3 linked regions of the Caenorhabditis elegans genome follow. The protein of the gene in region 3 purifies or fractionates together with the protein of the main gene of each other region. This does not show direct contact. Each region holds a gene or a part of one and is shown on either strand. Other genes may lie near its edges.

The links. The genes of interacting proteins can lie anywhere in the genome.
Region 1: the proteins of lars-1 (region 3) and chl-1 fractionate together in Caenorhabditis elegans (co-fractionation; one large-scale study listed by BioGRID). This does not show direct contact.
Region 2: the proteins of lars-1 (region 3) and Y55F3AM.13 fractionate together in Caenorhabditis elegans (co-fractionation; one large-scale study listed by BioGRID). This does not show direct contact.

What each region holds. Positions count from the first base shown.
Region 1 is NC_003281.10:10,399,228-10,407,216, reverse strand, and holds the start of chl-1 (ATP-dependent DNA helicase chl-1), read left to right. Parts: upstream 1-1,976; 5' UTR 1,977-1,980; coding exon 1,981-2,318; intron 2,319-2,379; coding exon 2,380-2,482; intron 2,483-2,947; coding exon 2,948-3,061; intron 3,062-3,854; coding exon 3,855-4,380; intron 4,381-5,168; coding exon 5,169-5,479; intron 5,480-5,786; coding exon 5,787-5,998; intron 5,999-6,404; coding exon 6,405-6,810; intron 6,811-6,967; coding exon 6,968-7,189; intron 7,190-7,662; coding exon 7,663-7,923; 3' UTR 7,924-7,989. Other genes in the region: hat-1 (Histone acetyltransferase type B catalytic subunit), read left to right, coding at 1-57, 103-523, 571-630, 710-1,382. UniProt on the Caenorhabditis elegans protein: Required for normal cell proliferation and chromosome stability. Plays a role in DNA repair during replication.
Region 2 is NC_003282.8:1,054,510-1,058,259, reverse strand, and holds Y55F3AM.13 (FH2 domain-containing protein), read left to right. Parts: upstream 1-1,946; 5' UTR 1,947-1,959; coding exon 1,960-2,088; intron 2,089-2,129; coding exon 2,130-2,715; intron 2,716-2,779; coding exon 2,780-2,925; intron 2,926-2,972; coding exon 2,973-3,176; 3' UTR 3,177-3,237; downstream 3,238-3,750. Other genes in the region: mrps-25 (Small ribosomal subunit protein mS25), read right to left, coding at 746-844, 893-1,059, 1,109-1,355; dcap-1 (mRNA-decapping enzyme 1), read left to right, coding at 3,474-3,572, 3,622-3,731.
Region 3 is NC_003281.10:4,181,033-4,188,692, reverse strand, and holds lars-1 (Leucine--tRNA ligase), read left to right. Parts: upstream 1-1,891; 5' UTR 1,892-1,908; coding exon 1,909-2,021; intron 2,022-2,071; coding exon 2,072-2,543; intron 2,544-3,001; coding exon 3,002-4,087; intron 4,088-4,512; coding exon 4,513-5,424; intron 5,425-5,693; coding exon 5,694-6,323; intron 6,324-6,580; coding exon 6,581-6,713; intron 6,714-6,766; coding exon 6,767-6,981; 3' UTR 6,982-7,144; downstream 7,145-7,660. Other genes in the region: R74.2 (FIP (Fungus-Induced Protein) Related), read right to left, coding at 1-330, 379-438; putative mitochondrial carrier C16C10.1, read left to right, coding at 7,261-7,324, 7,643-7,660.

The DNA.
Region 1 (7,989 bases), 6.2 Mb from region 3:
TCAATCGCAATCGGAGATACATTTCCGACGGACTTGCTGTCGTTAAAATGACATTTTGTAAGAGTTTAACCGAATTTTCGCTTGAAAGTTCCCATTTTTCAGTAAAAAACATGCAAGAAATCAGTACTGCGCCACGCTACGAACCAGAGATGGTCTATCAGCATTTCGGAGATGAGGAGACAATCTTCGGCTACGAAGATCTCGAGGTTACCATCCATCACACAGCTCAAACCCTCTACAGCTACATAAACGTGAGCTATTCCTCAAAAGCGAAAAACGAAAACGGACTGGAGGCCGATGACGTCATTGATAAGCTGGTTCATCCAGACGTTCGTCCGAATGTTCTGGTTTCGGGAAAAGAAGAATTCCAGCAGAAGCTCATCAAACAGAAGGATTTCAAGCCTTTCGGTGAGATGGTACACAAGTTTGAGCTGAAAGGAAAGAGCTACGAGGTCTACAAAGTCGCCGAGCAAACCGAAGAGTTCAACCTTTTCCTAGAAAGAATCCAGACTCTCGGCATGTTGTGAGTGCTTAAAAAATAAGGATTTTCCTACAAAATTTTTTTTTCAGCTTCATCGAGTGCTGCTCACTGACAGATAACACTGAAGACAATTGGCTTCACTATTTTATGTAAGTTGAGAAGATTTCGCGGCGAATTCCAGAAATTACAAAAAATCGAACGCATTTCAAATATTTTTCAATTTTCCAGCTACGAACGCTGCGACACCGGTGAAGGAGATGGAAGTACTGTGGCCAACGTGGCTGGCTACGCGACACTCTTCAAATTCTACAACTACATTGACAGGATCCGTCCACGAATTGCACAGATGCTATTGCTCCCTCAATACAGAAAATCTGGAATTGGAGCCAGTTTCATGGAATCTTTCCTGCGAGATCTTCGTGCCTCTCCAGAAGTTTTCGACGTAACCGTCGAGTCTCCCGGAGATCAGTTCGTCAGCCTCCGTGACTATGTGGATTGTGTCAACTGCATGACACTGCGGGAATTTGCACCGGAGAATCTCAAGAGGGGATACTCGGACAAAATGCGTCAGGCCGCACTGGAAAAGCTCAAGATTTCCAGACAACAAGCCCGTCGAGTCTATGAAATTTTGCGTTATCGTGCTACAAATAAGAAGGATAAAGAAGAGCTGAAAGCGCAGAGAATCGATGTGAAACGTCGGTTGTATGCACCAATGAAGAAATCGGATCAGGACTGGAAGCGTCTGAATCTCGCGTTGACACCCGATGAGCTTCGACAAGCGGCCTGTGGACAAATGGATGAGGAAACCAAGTTCTCGACGCTCTCACAGAATTATGATCGGCTTATGGAGGCCTATCAAAAAACTATTGATCGAATTGAGCAGCATCCAAGCATTTTTTAATCGTTGTATCTGTATCTTATTTTAATTTGAAATTACATGTGGGATTTTTGTATTTTTTTTAAAGCTAATTACCACGAAATTCGTCTAAATTTGCTGTAAATTTGCAAAATTCCCTTGCCGTTATTACCCATACGCGAAATTTTGCGCCAAAAGTACGGTATCCGGTCTCGAAGAGAAAAATGTATGATAAATGCGAAAAAGTGTGCGCCTTTAACGATTTTTATCAGGTTTTCATAGTTTTTCCCAGCATTTGTTAAAGTTTTTTTGGGTTTTGATTGTGATCTACGAAAAATCGACGAAAATCCGCAATAGCAAAAGTTTGAAGCTACAGTACTCTTTAAAGGCGCACAAATTTTCGCGTTTAACAAACATGTTTCGTTGCGAGACCAGGCACCGTATTTTTGGCGTGAAAATCGCTTTGGGTCCTATTTGACTTATTGTGAATGTTTCATGAATTTTTCCGCTCTCTAAACTCTCAGCTAAAAATCGAATTCCCAGTTGAAAATCCCGAATATATTTTTATCTTCTTATATATTATTCTTCAATTACAAAAAAAAAACTCACCGAAATAAATGATCTCTCACTCTATCCCAGCAGAATGGACGAATTCTCATTTCCATTTCAACCATACGACATTCAACTCAATTTGATGCGAGAAATCCGCCAATGCATTGAACAACGGAAAATTGGCATTTTCGAATCTCCAACAGGCACCGGAAAGTCGCTCAGCGTGTTGTGCTCGACGATGACGTGGCTGGAAGCTGAAGAACTACGAATTTCGACTGATTTGAGCACACGGCTCGGGGAGGTTCACACGAAAATCACGGAATGCGATAAAATCACCACCGCCGACAATTGGGAGACGGCAGTTCGTGAGAAAATGCGAGCTCAAGACGTAGAGACGGAGATTTTGGAGCAAATTCAGAGTCGGGAAAGGTGTTGGAAATTGAATAATTATTCTTTTTTAATTTTTTTTTAAATGAAAAAAATCATTCAGATTGCAGTCACGAATCGATCAAGCCCGGCGAGGAATGGTCGAGGTCTCCAGAAAGAGAAAAGCCCCGGCCAGGGATACGGATCAGTTTCTCGAACCTCAAGATGTAATAATTGAACTTTTATCCGGAAATTCACATGTGGCTGACCGTTTTTTCGGAAAATTTCAAGATTTCTGACTAGAACCTGGCTTTTTTTTTCTGGAAAAACCTTGAAATACGCAAAAATTCCAAATTTTTAAATACAAACCTTCAGTATTGCTAATTTTTTGAGAAATGTGAAAAAATGTTAACAGTATTATATAGCAAGATAGATATAGAATAGATTCCACAATATGAATAGATACACAATAGAATAGTTACATAGTAATACATAGAATAGACACTTGATGCCTCACTTTAAAGGCGCACGCTGTTTTCTGAGTGGGTCTCGCCACGATCCCAGCCACAGTAGTCGCTACAAATTTGAAGTTTCATAAATTGAATATGCCAGGTTTTCAAGAAAATGTTATTCTAGAAGTTTCTATTATAGAAATAATACAGAAATATCAAAATTCAAAATAAAATTTCCAGGAAGCCGCCCCATCGGAAGAATACAATAACGACGAGAAAAGTGAGAAACAGCGGGATTCCGATTTTTTCGATGATGTCGATGAAGAAGAGGAGAAGCCACTGAAATGTCTGAAAGTACAGAATTTATTTCAATATTTCGGAAAGTGCAATCGCGCTCCATAGCCAAATGAAAGTGCAATTCAAACTTTTTCAAGCATTTTTGTGACAGTAACTGTATATCATTAAAAATTGGAAAATCTTGGGTTTTACCGCCAATACCTAACGAGACCCATGTTTCGGGGGCAGAGCGTTTTTATTTTTTATTTGGCTATGGAGCGCGATTGCACTTTCATCTCAAAAGTCGCATATAGCTGTCATATTATTACAGGAACAAAAAATTCTTAGAATGCGTATTGGGCAACATATTTGACGCGCAAAATATTCCGACGCGAAAACTACAGTAATCCTTTGGATGACTACTGTAGCGCTTGTGTCGATTTACGGGCAATATTTTTGAAATTAATTTCTTTTCAAAAAGTTACAACGGCTCTCAATTTTCTTTAATTTTTCGTTTTTAAAAATCAATAAATAAAAGGTTTTTGTAAATCGACACAGGAGCTACAACAGCAATTTAGAGGATTACTGTAGTTTTCGCTTTGAGATATTTTGCGCGTCAAATATGTTGCCCAATACGCATTCTCAGAGTTTCGTGTTACCGTAATACGTCTTTTTTTTTTTTAATGAAAGTTGTCTGAAAAAAATAATCGAAATTAAGTCGGAGAATTTTCAATTTACCGAACAAATTTTTTTAAATGAAAATTTGGTTTTTTTGTAAATTTTCAAAACTGCATTAAAATTTTTTTAATTGAAAACTGAAAAATCAATAATTTTTTATTCAAACTGTCTTGAAATTTTCTGAATTTTCCAGATTTTCTACGCATCACGAACACATTCTCAATTGGAGCAACTTGCCGAGGAGCTCGCAAAAACTAGATTTCAACCCAGAATAGTTACATGTGCCTCACGAGGAACATTATGTGTAAATGAAGAAGTCAAAAAGTTGAAATTAAATCATTTAATCAATGAAAAATGTATGGAATTGCGAAAAAACGGAATGTCGGAAAAGGAAAAAGTTCAGAAATTGGAGAAAGGAACCACGAAAAAGACAAAAACCTGTGCGACTTCATGCGAATTCTACAATTCCACACAAATCGAAGATGTAGTGAATGGAGTCCTCTCGAACAAATTGAAAAGTACACTTGAAGTGTCAAAACAGGGAAAACTTTCCAATGGATGCCCATATTTTGCTACAAGAAAATCTGTTCCACAGTGTCAACTTGTTCTTCTTCCATATCAAGTTTTGCTTCATGATGGAACACGAAAAGCATGGGGAATTGAATTAAAGGATAATGTTATTGTACTCGACGAGGCACATAATGTGTTGAATACTATTAGTTCGTTTTTTTTTCGGAAATTGGAAAAAGTTTCGAAAAATGGCTTCAAAAATTGTTAGAATAATTTTTTTCAAATTTAAAAATAATCAAAATTTAATTTTTTTCAATTTTCTTCCAAAAATTTTTTCTTCATATTTTTTAATTATATGTTTACAAAAATCACAGTTTTTCATTTAATGTTTTTTGTTCAAAAAATTTCAAAAAAATTCAAAAAACTCTACTTTTCAACTAAAAATAAATGTTTTTCATTAATTTTTTAAATGAATTAAATCTTTTTCAAATTTAACTTTTTTTACAGAACTCGACTTGAAAAACGTTTTTTTTTTCAAAAAAAATTTCAAAAACATTGAAATAAAATCCTTATTTATTCCAAAAAACGAATAATTTCAATTTTTAGTTTTTAAAAATACGGAAATCACTATTTTTCTTTTTTTTTTCAAAAAAAAAAAAACGAAAAAAAAATCTGCTTTTCAATAAAAAAAAATTTTATTTCAAAAAAGCACATTTTTCAATTTAAAAAATTCAAAAAATCACAATTTTCAAAATATTTTTTTTTCAGAAAATCGCTAATTTTATTCAAAAAATTTTCAAAAAAAAAACAATTTTTCAATATACAAAAATTTCTAAAAATCACTGAAAAAACTATTTTCCAATTTAAAAAATCGTTATTTTTCAATTAAATTGTTTCCTAAATAATTCCCTGAAAATCACTTTAAAAAAATTTCCAAACCTTTTTTTTAAAAAAAAAACCTCCCGGAAATTTCCAATTTTAAAGGAATTTTTTTCAGGTTCCCTCTACTCTGCTGAAATTTCCACGAAATCCCTAACCCTCGCACTGCGTCTAATTCGAGAATACAATGCTCACTACAAGCTGAAGCTTCTGGCTCATAACCTACTTTACATGAAACAACTGGAATCACTCACCAGCAAAATGCTCATTTTCTTAAATAGCCAATCAAAAGAAGATGTGATGACGATGGCTCAGTTGGCACGAAATTTGAATATTCTAGAAATTAATCTGTTCAAATTGGCCGAATATATGGAGAAGACGGATTTGTGCAAGAAATTTCATGGATTTTACATGAGATTACAGAAAGAAGTAATTAATTCCAAAAATCGAAAAATTCACTTTAAAAAATTAAGAAAAATACCTCAGAAACAGAAACAAATTTTCAAAAAAAATTAAAACGTATCATAAATTCAAACTGAAATTTTCATTTTTTACGAAAAATATCAATTTTTTCATAAAAATTTGAATTACCTATCATTTTTTTAAAGTATTACAATAATTTTTTTCTAAAAAGTATTCAAAAAAAGCCATTAAAATTGAAAATGAAGATCCAGGAAAAATTGATTTACCGTGAAAATTCCGAAGCCTAAAACCTAGAATCCAATAACTTTTCCAGGAAATCAAGAAAGAAAATGAGAAGCCAAAACTAACCGGAATCCAGAAACTCATGGCTGCAAAAGAAGCGGAGCCTGAGCCAGAAGCTGAGCCTCTTCCACCGCCAAAACCCGTTCCTTCTCCACTTTTTTCGCTGAAATCGTTCATCGACGCATTAACCAACAAATGCGAAGATGGCCGAATTATTGTGGAAAAGTCGGCCACCGAAGCAAAGTATGATAGCAACGATTTTTGAACGTGACCGTGAAAAACAAATCGGTGGCCGAGTTTTGGGTTTTGCTTTTTTTTTTTGAAAATCGACTTCCCCGCAAAAGTGTGCTGATATTTATTGAGACTATTTTTCTCACATTGGAAAAATCGGTCATCAATAGTTTTTCTCATAAAAAACTAGGCAAGCATATTTATGTTGAGTAAACTTCGGCCACCAATTTTTTCAGAATAGGAAAAGTTCGGCCACTGACTCCGTTACCAAAATGTGAAAACTAGGCCACTAGTTTTATTCGGGCAGAACTCGGCCACTGCTTTTTAATACTGAAAGTTCGGCCAGCTAATTTTATTTGAGTAAAATTCGGCCACCGATTTTTTTTTCCAGAAAATCCGAAAACTTTTCAACTTCCAGATTCCGATTCATGCTCCTAAATCCGGCGGATCGTCTTTCCGAAGTGGTCACTTCCGCCCGAGCCACAATCCTCGTCGGTGGCACAATGGAGCCAGCTCAGCTTCTCGTGGAGACCCTATCCCGTGGATCGATCGGCGCCGACTCAATCCGTCGTTTTTCGTGTTGCCACGTCATTGATGATTCCCAGCTGCTCGCGGTAACCGTAGAACGAACTGTCGACGGAAAACCATTCCAACTCACATATCAGACACGTGGCGCCGATACCACGTTGAGATCGTTGGCCACGTCAATTCAGGCCCTGATTCCGCATATTCCGAATGGAGTTGTGATCTTTGTGCCGTCATACGACTTTTTGTTCAATTTCCAGAAAAAGATGAAGGAATTTGGGATTTTGAAGCGGATCGAGGTAGTTTTCGTTTCGAGACCCTTCCTGGGATTTTACCGTAGAATAATATATTTTTGTTAAAACGAAAATAAGAAAAAATTCAAATTTTGCATCAAATCTCAATAAATATCCAAAAAGTACGCTAGAGCACATTTGCATTGTCTTTGTTTTTTTTCAGGAAAAGAAGGCCGTATTCACAGAAAGCCGGCAACCAACATCAGACGTCTGGGACCGATTCAGCCGAGCTGCAAAAACATCGAAAGGAGCCATTCTATTTGCTGTCGTCGGCGGTAAAATGAGCGAGGGAATAAATTTTTGTGATGAGCTCGGACGGGCGGTCATTGTTATCGGATTACCGTATCCGAATAAGACCAGCGTCGAGTTGAGGGAACGGATGAAGGTAATAGTGATGGACTCTAAAAATATGGAAAAGCAGATTTAGCGTAATTTTTCTAAAATGGAAATCCTAGACCAATTTACAGGAATCCTTGGTCAGCGAATTTTAGACCACCAGTTGATTTTTAAATTCTAGGCCACCATATCACTATAATTTTAGGCCACCCATTACTATATATCGAGGCCACCCACTAGATTAAGAAATTCTAGACCACCCCATTACAGAATTTCTAGGCCACCATATCACTATAACTCTAGGCCACTACTTCACTCAAATCATAGGCCATCAAATGACTACAGTTCTAGACCACGAAATCAGAATCTAGGCCATCACGTGAATCAAATTCTAGGCCACCTATTGAGCTAAATCCTTGGAAATTGTAGGCCACACTTTACTCGGATCCTAGGCCACCACGCAAGAACACAAAAGGGCCACCCTCCCCCCAATAACTCAAAATTTCAAAATGTTTTTTTCAGTTCCTCGACACTCAAATGCCGAACGGTGGAAACCTGCTCTACGAATCTCTATGCATGCACGCCGTGAATCAAGCCATCGGTCGAGCAATCCGTCACCGCCGAGACTACGCGGCCGTCTATCTCTTCGACGACCGCTACGCAAAGGAGTCCACTCGGAGAAAGTTGTCCACGTGGATTGGAGATCGCACTCAAGTCAAGTTGGGATTTGGCGAGATTATTCGAAAGACGAGGAGCTTTTTTGAAGCGAATTCTAAGAAATAATTAGAATATTTTTTCTTCATTTTTTTGGTGTTTTTTATTTTGCCCGGTTGCTCTAAAGATTCCTCA
Region 2 (3,750 bases), on a different chromosome or scaffold from region 3:
CCTTTCCTCCCGATTTAAAAAATTTTCCTTGCCCTACAGTAACTCCCGCCCTATGTCCCTTCAAACTTGCCCCATCCCTGAAAAAATTCTCGTCAAAAAAGTTGTTGTTCCCCGTATACACATTGATTTCTGGTCAAAATAATTGTAATTTAATACACATATAAATCATATATTATCGGTTATATTAATTTTTCAAAAAAAAATTTTGGGTCTCGTCACGAAATTTTCGAAAGAAAAGAAGTTTCTTCGAAAATAGTCATGATTATACTTATTCAAACCGGCTTGCCACGCTGATTTCAAAAATATAAGTTTCATGGGTCTCGCAGCGAAATTGGCTGGGTTACTGTAGATTTAAAGGCTAAATTTAGGCCAAAGTCGTTCAATTTTCGTTCAAATTTTAAAAATTTTAAAACCTATGCTTGAGTAAACTCATTCAAACTGGCTTGACACGCTGATTTCAAAAATATGTCTTTCTTGGGTCTCACAGCGAAATTTATCGGGTTACTGTAGACTTTAGAGCCGATTTCAGGCCAAATCATGACGATTTAGGCCCAAAATATAGAATTTTTGAAACCCAGGCATGATTATACTTCTTCGAACCTTCTCGTCGTGAATATTGCGGCAAAAAGATTGTAAAACTGAAAAAAAAAATCGTTTTTTCAACAAAAAACAAGGAAGATCGACACAAAAACTAGCTAGAAATAGGGGGAAATAGGAAATTTACACAAAAATCAATCGATATAAATTAGATGAGATTATGATTCCATCGATATTTTCCGGTGACACATTGCGGTGCTCGCAGGAGTCCCGTGCACGGATGTTGGCCTTGAACTTCGCACATACACTGAAAAAATGAACGATTTTTTGCCGATTTTTCGCGCAATTTTCAGACCTGTCGCTCATTTTTGGATCCGAAATCGGCGGGATTAAGCTTGGCAATACTCTCCAAATGCTCTCTTCGCTCCACTAATTCCGTTTTTCCTAGCGTTTTCGCCAATAATTTCTCGATTTCCTCGCGCTTCATGCCGTCCAAGTCGAATAGCACTTCCCGGCCGTCGTCTGAAACATTTTTTAGTAGAATTTTGTGGATTTTCAGCTTGAAACTTACTCAGATATGCTCTGGCAAAGGGCGTCACAACTTTATCGGCATGCTTAACGAGCTGAACTTTTGGATTGTGATATTGAAGCTGCGCCCAGTTCCAGTAGACGAAATCTCGTGCTCCAGACTGCTCGGGCGTCGGATTTTTATGAAAACCCATCGAGAACACGTTGACGTTGTCGCGAAGCTTCACTTTTCCCTGCTGGAGATAGAAGAATGTCCGCCGAAGCGGCATGGACCCGTGCATGAACGGCATTTCTGGTTTTGAGCTGAAAAAGGAAGGAATTTCGTGGGAAAACGCTGAATATGAGATTACGATAAATTTATGCAAAAGATAGAATTAAAAAACCACTGGAAAAAGCTAAAAAATCGCTTGAAAATGAGAAAAAAAATATATAATTAAAATAAATAATTTTCCTCCCAACGACACTCCGATATCACGTTGTGCGCCTTCTTTATCGTAAATCCACATTTGCTTTTATTTCTGATTTTTGGGTTTTTTAGCTGTTTTCAAGCTATTTTATATCAAAATTCAGTAAAAACCGGTAATTTTTCGTCTATTTCCCGCAAAAATTACATAAATCATGTAAAAATGCTGATTTTATACCAAAAATTCACTAAAAATAAATAACACGCACTTGTTAATTCGGAGCATCGTTGTTTTAAACTCTAAATTTTTTTTCCAGAAATTTGATGGTTTTCCCAGTTTTTCAAGCATATTTCATGTTTTTTGGTGCCTTTAACGCTTCTGAAAAATTTTAGATTCTCGAAATTCCATCTTACAATCTCTCGATTGCTCTGAAAATCTCAAAAATCTCAAGATTTCGTATAAAATAGGATTTTCCAGGGTAAATCACGCGATGCCAATGTACAAGCTGACACCGACGTTCCCACCGAATTTTGAGGTTCATCCGAAAATCGCCTGCTATCCAGTAGGTTCGTATCATAATCCATCTTTCGGAGGAGTCGGGCCTTCTGATGCGGTGCAGGTAATAGACGGATTTTGGCTCAAAAAAAACTGAAATTTCAGGTAGAATCCGATCCGCGCAAGGCTTTGGAGCACAAACAGCTCTCACTGATCGAGCAGCTCAAAGCACAGACCGAAGAGCTCAAGAAGTTGCTGGTAAGCCTTGGAGAGGCTGGAAAAGCAGAGAGATCTGCTCAAAAACCTGCGGAAAAAGCGCCAAAAGAGCCTGAGAAATCCGCTGGAGCAGCCTCTTCAGCTCCCGGAGTCCCCGGAGCCCCCGCAAAACTAGACAAGGACGCCAAGAAGGAGGCTCGCAAGGCTGCCAAGGCAGAAGCCGTAAAGAAATTGGCTTCCGGAGAGGCTCCACCACAGAAATCCGCGAAAAAGACCGTAAATTCGACTCCATGGACCGTCCAGGACGACCGAAAGACGTGGGAGACCAATCTGACTCTCACCGTGAATCTCCCAACCTCCCTTGTGGCCTACGAGCCGCAGGAGCAGCTGAAAAACGCCACGCTGACAGTGCGGGACGTGGATTTGCCGTGGGCTCGGGCTCTCGCAAAGGTCGGCGCAAGCCGTGGAGTCTCGTTTGAGGGAGAAGTCAAAAATCAGACGAAAGAGAAGAAATCCAGTCTGAAAGTTGTGAAAGGTGCGGGATTTTTTCTCTAAAAATCAGAATTTTATGATATACCCTTAATTTTCAATATTTTCAGGCCCTGCTCCCTCCCTGCAATTGGAAAAAACTACCGTCAAATCCCTTCAAACTATCTGGAAGCTGTTGGGCTCTTCACTCGGGCTCTTCTCTAGACGGCCACAACAAGTGCTCAGCGCCAGTCATCAAGCGATTTGGCTGGGAAAAGTAGGAAATTTTAGAAACTTTCCCAAAAAAATCAAATTTTCTTTCAGGCCGAGCAAATCCTTGCCGGCTCCTGTGATCAGAGCTTTGTCACACGTGAAGCTTCTCAGTTCCTGGCTCGTTTCGACTCGTTAAGCTCTCAATGGGAGGTGTGTGTCGCTGATATTGTGTTCAGAAGCCTTCTGAACCTTGGGGAGCACCTTCCGAACAATGTGGAGTTGTGGGCTAAGAAGATTGACGCTTTGATTGTTTAGATTTGATTTATTGATGTTTTTATTTGATTTTCTCGGTTTAAATGAATTATTTTGCATTTTTATCTGATTTTTTCGTTTAAGAAACAAATTTTTTGCTTTAAAAATTCAGTTTACAATTACAACGATACTCCAAAATCCCGCAGCGCGCCCTGTTTACCGTAAATCTACACCATAGAATTTCAATTTAAATTCTGTCTTTCTTTGTTTTTTTCGCGATTTTCACCGATTTCCGCAGATTTTTTGCACTTTTCTCATCATTTTTCATCGAAAACTCAACATTTTCATCCAGGAACCAGTATGAGCGACGCTAAAAAAAAGGCCGCCGCCGAGCTAGCCGCGAAAAACCTCGCACAACTCCAGAAAATCGACATCGCCGCCAGCAAGATTCTCGACAAGGTTTAACATAGAGAATTGTGGATTTTAAAGCTAAAAATTGGTTTTGTAGATGCCATTTGCCGCGATTTATCATATCGATGCGGCGAGAAAAGAGTGGAATCAGTCGAATTGCGAAGGAACATTTTTCGTCTATCAGAGAGCTGATCGGCCATATTTTAGGTGAGAAGAAGCAAGAAAA
Region 3 (7,660 bases):
ATAACGGTAGGTTGCGAATGTGTACTGTGGTGGATATACATATGTCATTCCTGGACGAAGAAGATATCTTCTTGGAAGCCTATCCCATGGGTAATGCTGGAAGAAATACCCTCTTCTATAGGCGACAACTGGCCTCTTTGTGGTAGTTTGAACGGGATTCTGATTGCGTCCAATCGGATTTGGGTTCAAAAGTGGTGCACGAGTTGGAATATCGAATTTCGGTGCGATTGTTGAGTAGGTTACTTGTTTCAAATTATGGTTGGCACCAGCATTCTTGACCGGTTGAGATGAAAAATCAGAATAATCGTCACCAACATTATCCTGTCTTGCCTAAAAATTATCCATATTCGTAGGTACGAATTGTCCAAAGTAACTCACCTTTCTTTCAGCCAACGTGACCCCACAAATCGCCGCTAGAAAAATAATAGATCTCCTCATCTAGAAGTGTGTAAGATTGTTAAAATCGGTCAATCTCCATCGTCGTTAAATACTCCCAAAATCGGGTTGACTAGAAGTGTAACAAAACCTTCAAATAGCTGGACATCATCTGCCTCAAACAGATCTGGTTCTTGGCATATCGGGTAAAATTATATAAGTTTGTTGCGTAGTGATATACAACAAGGTGAGAAAGTGATGAAGACGACGGACGTCCATGGTTGCGCAATAAGTGAAATTAGAACTGGAAATTTTCGGAGATAAGGAATGTTTTTTTTTGTATATTGCGAATTAGGATATATCATGTTTTGCCTGGGTTAATCAGTAGTATCACTATGAAAATATATGATCTATTGTGTACCTTCTATTAAGAAGATGTTTAAATTTTTTGGTATTAAAATTTTGGTTAAAAAACAATTAAAAATTGGGAGAATTTCAGAAGATTTATGGAAACATATTTAGTTAAATATGGCTATTTTACTAAAATCTAGATTTCGGAACATTCTGCTTTGAGAAATTTAGATGAATTAATACAAATCGAGTCAAGTTCGTCCAGCGAAGAACCTATCTCAAGTCACTATTAAAGTCTGTCAGCCGGTATTTATAGCAAGGAGAAAGTGATGTTGAGTGTAATCCCACTTGTTGTAATCTGACCAATGTGTGTGTCCAACTTGATAAATTGGCCTTCATTGGATATGGAAAAGGAATAATTTTATGAACTAAGTATATTTTGCAAAATTCCATTCAAAAGTAGAAACCGTACTTGATTCGTTAAGAGCAAAACGGAGCATTTACGAATTTAATTCCAAGTAATATGGTGCAGTGTGACCTATTCCTGAAATCAGTCGAATATGAAATATTGCAAAAATTCCTTTTCAATATGTTTCATGTTGTAGCAGTTGTAGAATTTTTATATACCAAAAAATTTAAAGATAATTAAATTTATTATAAACTATTTTAATGTACCTTTAGCCTGTTATAGATTACTAATAATTGTAGAAAAAATCCAATTTCTGTTGTTGCTCCGAAAAAATCACTAATTGTATTTCTATAAATTGGTAAATTATTGTTCGAGAACTCGAAAAGTACATTTTTCTTCATTTTTTATAATATTGTATTATTTTATCGCCTTCTCCGAGTGATTGAAACCCCTATGAAAAGTTGGGAAAGTTGACGTGGCCGCGGTCGATGCCATTGCAAAACTAGGCCATGATAATGCAGGATTTTTAGAACGGTAGAAAATGGGCCTATTTTAAGTTGTTCCCTTTAAAATTTGAACTTTTTTATCGACAATTAAATCTCAATATCGATTTTTTTCCACAAACTTGTTTGCTTTCTAATCACTTATTGATTTTTTTCAAATAGAAACCAAGTAAATTTCATCATTTTGTGTTTTCTGATGTAATCTATTGCTTAAAAGAATTTTTTAAAGGTTTTAATTATTTTTAAATATCAGGGTAACAAATATCGACAATGTCGAAAATCAATAAGGAGCGGAAGAAGGTTGCTCAACTTCAAGAAATTGAAAAGAGCATTCAGGAGCTGTGGGAGAGCAAGAAGGCTTTCGAGGCGGATGCTAGGGATGAGTGAGTTTTTTCTGAAAATTTTGAATTATTTTCAATTTAAAAAATTTCAGTGGAAAACCAAAGTACCTCGTCACGTTTCCCTTCCCATACATGAATGGACGTCTTCATTTGGGACACACATTCTCAGCTTCAAAATGTGAATTTGCCGCCGGTTTCCAACGTCTTCAAGGCAAAGAAGTGCTCTTTCCATTCGGATTTCATTGTACTGGAATGCCAATTAAAGCATGTGCAGATAAATTGAAAAGAGAAATGCAAGATTTCGGATATCCACCAAATTTCCCGGAAGATGTTGTCGAGGAAGTTAAAGAAGAAGTTTCGGCTGTCGATGAGATTATCAAGGATAAGAGTAAAGGAAAGAAGAGTAAATTGGTGGCAAAAACTGGAAATGCAAAATACCAATGGCAAATTATGAAGTCTCTGGGATTGTGTGATGAGGAAATTAAGGAATTCTCGGATCCAAATCATTGGCTATATTATTTCCCACCACATTGCATTGCTGATCTTAAGAAAATGGGACTAAAGGTAAGATTTAAAGTGTTGAAATCATCTTAAAGTGTTGAAAGTGAGTTCTGTAAAAATAGTACTAAATTATTATGTTTTTCCAATATTTTTGATTAAAATTTAGTGATAGAATTTGGAAAAAAAACATTTGATTTATCTGAAAATAGTTTTTATTTTAGTGATTAAAAGTTGAAAATAACCTGTAAAAAAATTTCGATAATTGGTCGGTTTTTACCGGCGATTTTTTTGGCACTTTTCCAATTTTTCAACCTTAATCAAAGCTATTTTCAGATAAATGAAATATTTTTCTATATTATATCCCTGAATTGTATTTAATGAATATTGGAACAAAATGCCTTACTTCCTCATTTTTGCTTCTCCATTTTAATAATAATATAATTCTCAAAAAAATTTAACTTATCACAAAATTAAAAAAGAAACATTTCGAAATTATTAAATTAAAAATTGCCATTTTTCAGGCTGATTGGCGTCGTTCCTTCATCACCACCGACGTGAATCCATACTTCGACTCATTCGTCCGTTGGCAGTTCAACCTTCTTCGTGCAGCTAAGAAGATCGATTTCGGAAAGAGATATACAATTTATTCACCGAAAGACGGTCAACCATGCATGGATCACGATCGTGCCAGTGGAGAAGGTGTTGGTCCACAAGAATATACTCTTATTAAACTGAAAGTTCTTGATCCAAAACCTCAAGCTTTGAGCCATATCAAAGAGGATATTTATCTCGTTGCGGCTACTTTGAGACCTGAAACAATGTACGGACAAACGAATTGTTATCTCCATCCAGATATTCAATATTCCGTGTTTTATGCGACGGAAAACGAGAAACAAGTATTTGTGGCAACTGCCAGATCTGCTAGAATCATGTCATATCAAGGATTGACTAAGGAAAATGGTAAAGTCAACTATGTCCTGGGACTCGAGAAAATCGCTGGAAGCAAGATTCTCGGAGCTCCACTCTCTGCGCCTCTCGCAAAATACGAAAGAGTTTATGCATTGCCAATGTTGACTATCAAGGATGATAAGGGAACTGGTGTTGTTACAAGTGTACCATCAGACTCTCCAGATGATTTTGCAGCTTTGTCGGATCTCAAGAAGAAGAAGCCATTGAGAGAAAAATATGGATTGACTGATGAGATGGTTCTTCCATTCGAACCAGTTCCAATTATTAAAATCGAAGGACTTGGGGATTTGGCTGCAGTTGAAATGTGCTCAAGGCTGAAAATTGAGTCTCAAAATGAGAAGGACAAACTGGAAGAGGCGAAGAAAGAAGTTTATTTGAAAGGATTCTACGATGGAGTTATGCTCGTCGGAAAGTATGCTGGAAAGAAGACAGCCGACGTCAAGAAAGTTATTCAAGATGATTTGACAGCTGAAGGTCTTGCCACGAAATATGTGGAGCCTGAGAAGAAGGTGATGAGCAGATCTGGAGATGAGTGCGTCGTTGCGTTGTGTGATCAATGGTATTTGAATTATGGAGAGGCTGAATGGAAGGCTGCTGCAAAGAAGGTTCTTGAGCCACTCAGAACTTTCAATGATGAGGTATATTTTTTTAAATTATTTTTGAAAAAATATTATGTAGACGTCTAAAAATAAGAATCTTCGCCATCTCTTACGCGCAGAGGTCTTGCCACGCAGACAACGAGTTACTGTAACTTGCCGATCAAAGGGTTTTTTATTGCAGCATATTCTCTAAATAAAACCACAATTTTATCTAAAAATCGAAAAAATTTGTTCAAAGAATATCATAGTTTACAAATTACTCCAACTCTACGGACGATTTTTTTAAAACCCTTTTTGTTGAAATTGGAGTTTAATTTAAAGAATATGACGCAATAACGGCCCATTAGACAACAGAAGTTACAGTAATTCGTTGCCTGCGTCCTCTGCGCGTAAGATATGTCGAAAATTCTCATTTTTAGATGTCTATGTAGTATATTCTTATTCCGCTGAATTAAAATTTTCAGACCCGCCGTGGATTGGAAACCACAGTCGATTGGCTCCACGAGTATGCTTGCTCCAGAAGTTACGGTCTTGGAACCAAACTTCCATGGGATACTCAATACCTCATCGAATCTCTGTCAGACTCTACAATCTACAATGCTTATTATACAGTTGCTCATCTTCTCCAACAGGGAGCTTTTGATGGATCAGTCGTCGGACCTGCTGGAATTAAAGCTGATCAGATGACAGATGCTTCGTGGAGTTATGTATTCCTCGGAGAAATTTACGATTCGAAAACCATGCCGGTTGAGGAGGAAAAGCTTAAATCATTGAGGAAAGAATTCATGTATTGGTATCCAATTGATATGAGAGCATCTGGAAAAGATCTTATCGGAAATCATTTGACATATCTTCTGTTCAATCATGCTGCAATCTGGCCAACAGACACTTCAAAATGGCCAAAAGGAATTCGGGCCAATGGACATTTGCTCTTGAACAATGAGAAAATGTCGAAATCCACTGGAAACTTTATGACATTGGAAGAAGCCATCGAAAAGTTCAGCGCAGATGGTATGAGATTGAGTCTTGCCGATGCTGGGGATGGTTTGGAAGATGCTAACTTTGTGTACGCAATGGCAGATGCAGCTATTCTGAGACTATTCACTATGATCGAATGGATCAAGGAAATGATTGAACAACGGGATGCCGGACTTCTCCGAAAAGATGCAAAGAAATTCGCTGATCGAGTTTTTGCAAATGAAATGAATTCACTGATCGCTGCCACAGAACAAAATTATGAAGCTACCAACTTCAAGGATGCACTGAAAACTGGATTCTTCGAATATCAAGCCATTAGAGATACATACAGAGAACTTTGCGCTGGAATTGATGAGCCAATGAGCGAATCGCTTGTCTTTAGATTCATTGAAACTCAGGTATATTTTCAGAAAGATTTTTTTCTCAAGATGACAGATACCGATTATTAGTGTAAAAATTGAAAGAATTGTTTCAAATTCTGCAACAAAAATTCTAGAAAAACGAGAAAAAAAACAAATCAGTATTGCCGTATATTAAAAAAGTTTAGGAAATTTCTATAAATTTCTTAAAATCTATTTTCGTTCGATTAAGACTGATTTCTGTCATTTGGGGCAAAAAAAAAACGCCAGACGACACCTTTAAAAGTTTAATTTGTTTTTTATTTTAGATGCTCATCCTATCACCAATCTGCCCACATATTGCTGAATACATCTGGCAATTGCTCGGAAAAGACGGCTTGATTGTAAATGCTCCATGGCCAACTGTCGATCCTGTCGATGAGAAGCTCGCCATTGGTGCTCGTTTCATCACGGAATCGCTGGCCGAATTCCGTGCCCGACTGAAAACCTACATGACTCCAAAGAAGAAGGCACTGAAGGAGATTCCAGAAGTTCCAACTGAAGCAGTGATCTATGTTGCTAAAGAATATCCACCATGGCAGAAGACTATTCTTGATATTCTTGAGAAACAAGCCAAGGCTAATAATGGAGCACTTCCAGATAATAAAGCAATCAGTCAGCTCATTGGAAAAGAAGAATCACTCAAGAAATTCGCCAAAAAAGCGATGCCATTCGTTCAAATGATCAAGGAAAGATTCGAACAGAAGGGTGTTTCAGCATTGGCTTCTTCTAGTCCAGTTGATCAAACTTCAATTCTCAACGAGAATATTGATTTTATTATGAACGCTTTGGATTTGGATCGTGTTACTATTCGACATACTGATGAGGAGGGAATTGATGCGAATATTGTTGAGACTACAGTACCGCTGGTGCCAATGTTGAATTTCACGCCGAATAGAGTAAGGAAACATATTATAGGGGCATGGGAACATGCTCCGCCTTCTAACCATGGGTCTCGTTAGGTATTTGGCGGCAAAACCGTAAATTCAAACATTTTAAATTCGTCTCTGCAGTTTTCAAGCACGCCAAATACCTTACGAGACCCAACTGTAGGAGGCGGGGCGTTGTCAATCGGCAGTGGAGCGCATTTCCATATCAATTTCAAGAGGGGAATTTTTCTGCGTACCAATAATAATGACATCATAATTATTTTCAGCCAACAATCAAACTTGTCGCCAGAAATGTTCAAATCTGCAATGCAATGTTCGATGTTGATGTACCAATTGTTAATGGAGACAGTGTTTCAATGGTTATTCGGAAGATGAGACGCATCAGCAAGGCAATCAAACGTATGAGAAAACCCTATTCCGAAAACAATAAATTCAATTTATTATATTTTCAGCGAAATTCGAAGTGAGCCTCTGGAGATACAAGAACGCGGTTTGGGGAGATCGACAGATGATTTCGTACAGAAATCCATTCGAGGAGAACATTCAATTGTCCGACGCAGACATTTTCAATTTCGAGGCTGATAACAAGATTTCTGTGACTTCTGGAAGTGAAAAGTTCGATCTTGGGCGTACTATTGTGTACAAGGCTAACGTCCCAGAAAACTAGATTCTTTCTAAAAAATTATTTGTTCTTCTTGTTTCTAATAATATTATATCCCCACTTTTTGAGTTTTGTTGTTTCTATTCATTTTCATAATTTATACGTACCCGAATCCCTATTTCAGCTTTCACTGTTTTCTCCCTGTTTCCAAGTTGAATGAAAAGGTTTTTTTGTTATTATACTAGATTTTTGAAAACTGTGATTTGTTATCTAAGTATTTCAAACCTAATATTTTAAATGTGATTTTCTATTTTTTATCGGAAGTTTCCGTATTTCCAGTAACAGATGCCGTCACCATGTGAAAGCGGTAAAACGACAAATTGCTCCGGAGCACCTTCCTCGTCTTGTGGTGAATATTTTGATTATTACTCATTCGGGAAAATATGGGATTTTTATCGCAAAATTATGGTATCGGGTCTCGACACGATCGAATTACTTCCAAATGAAAAGTGGGTAACACATTGTTTTCTCGAGATTTTAAAGTCTACTAATTATTATTCATGTGACATCAAAATCTGGAAGGAGTGAGGCTACAGTACCTCATTTGAAAATATTTCGATCGTGTACAAACAAAAACAAAAATAAATTACTATACTTTTGCGTTAAAAAACTAAATTTTTCGAAGAAAATATCTGGAATAAAATATAACGAACAAAAATCTTTTCAGCGAAATCAGTAGAATGCT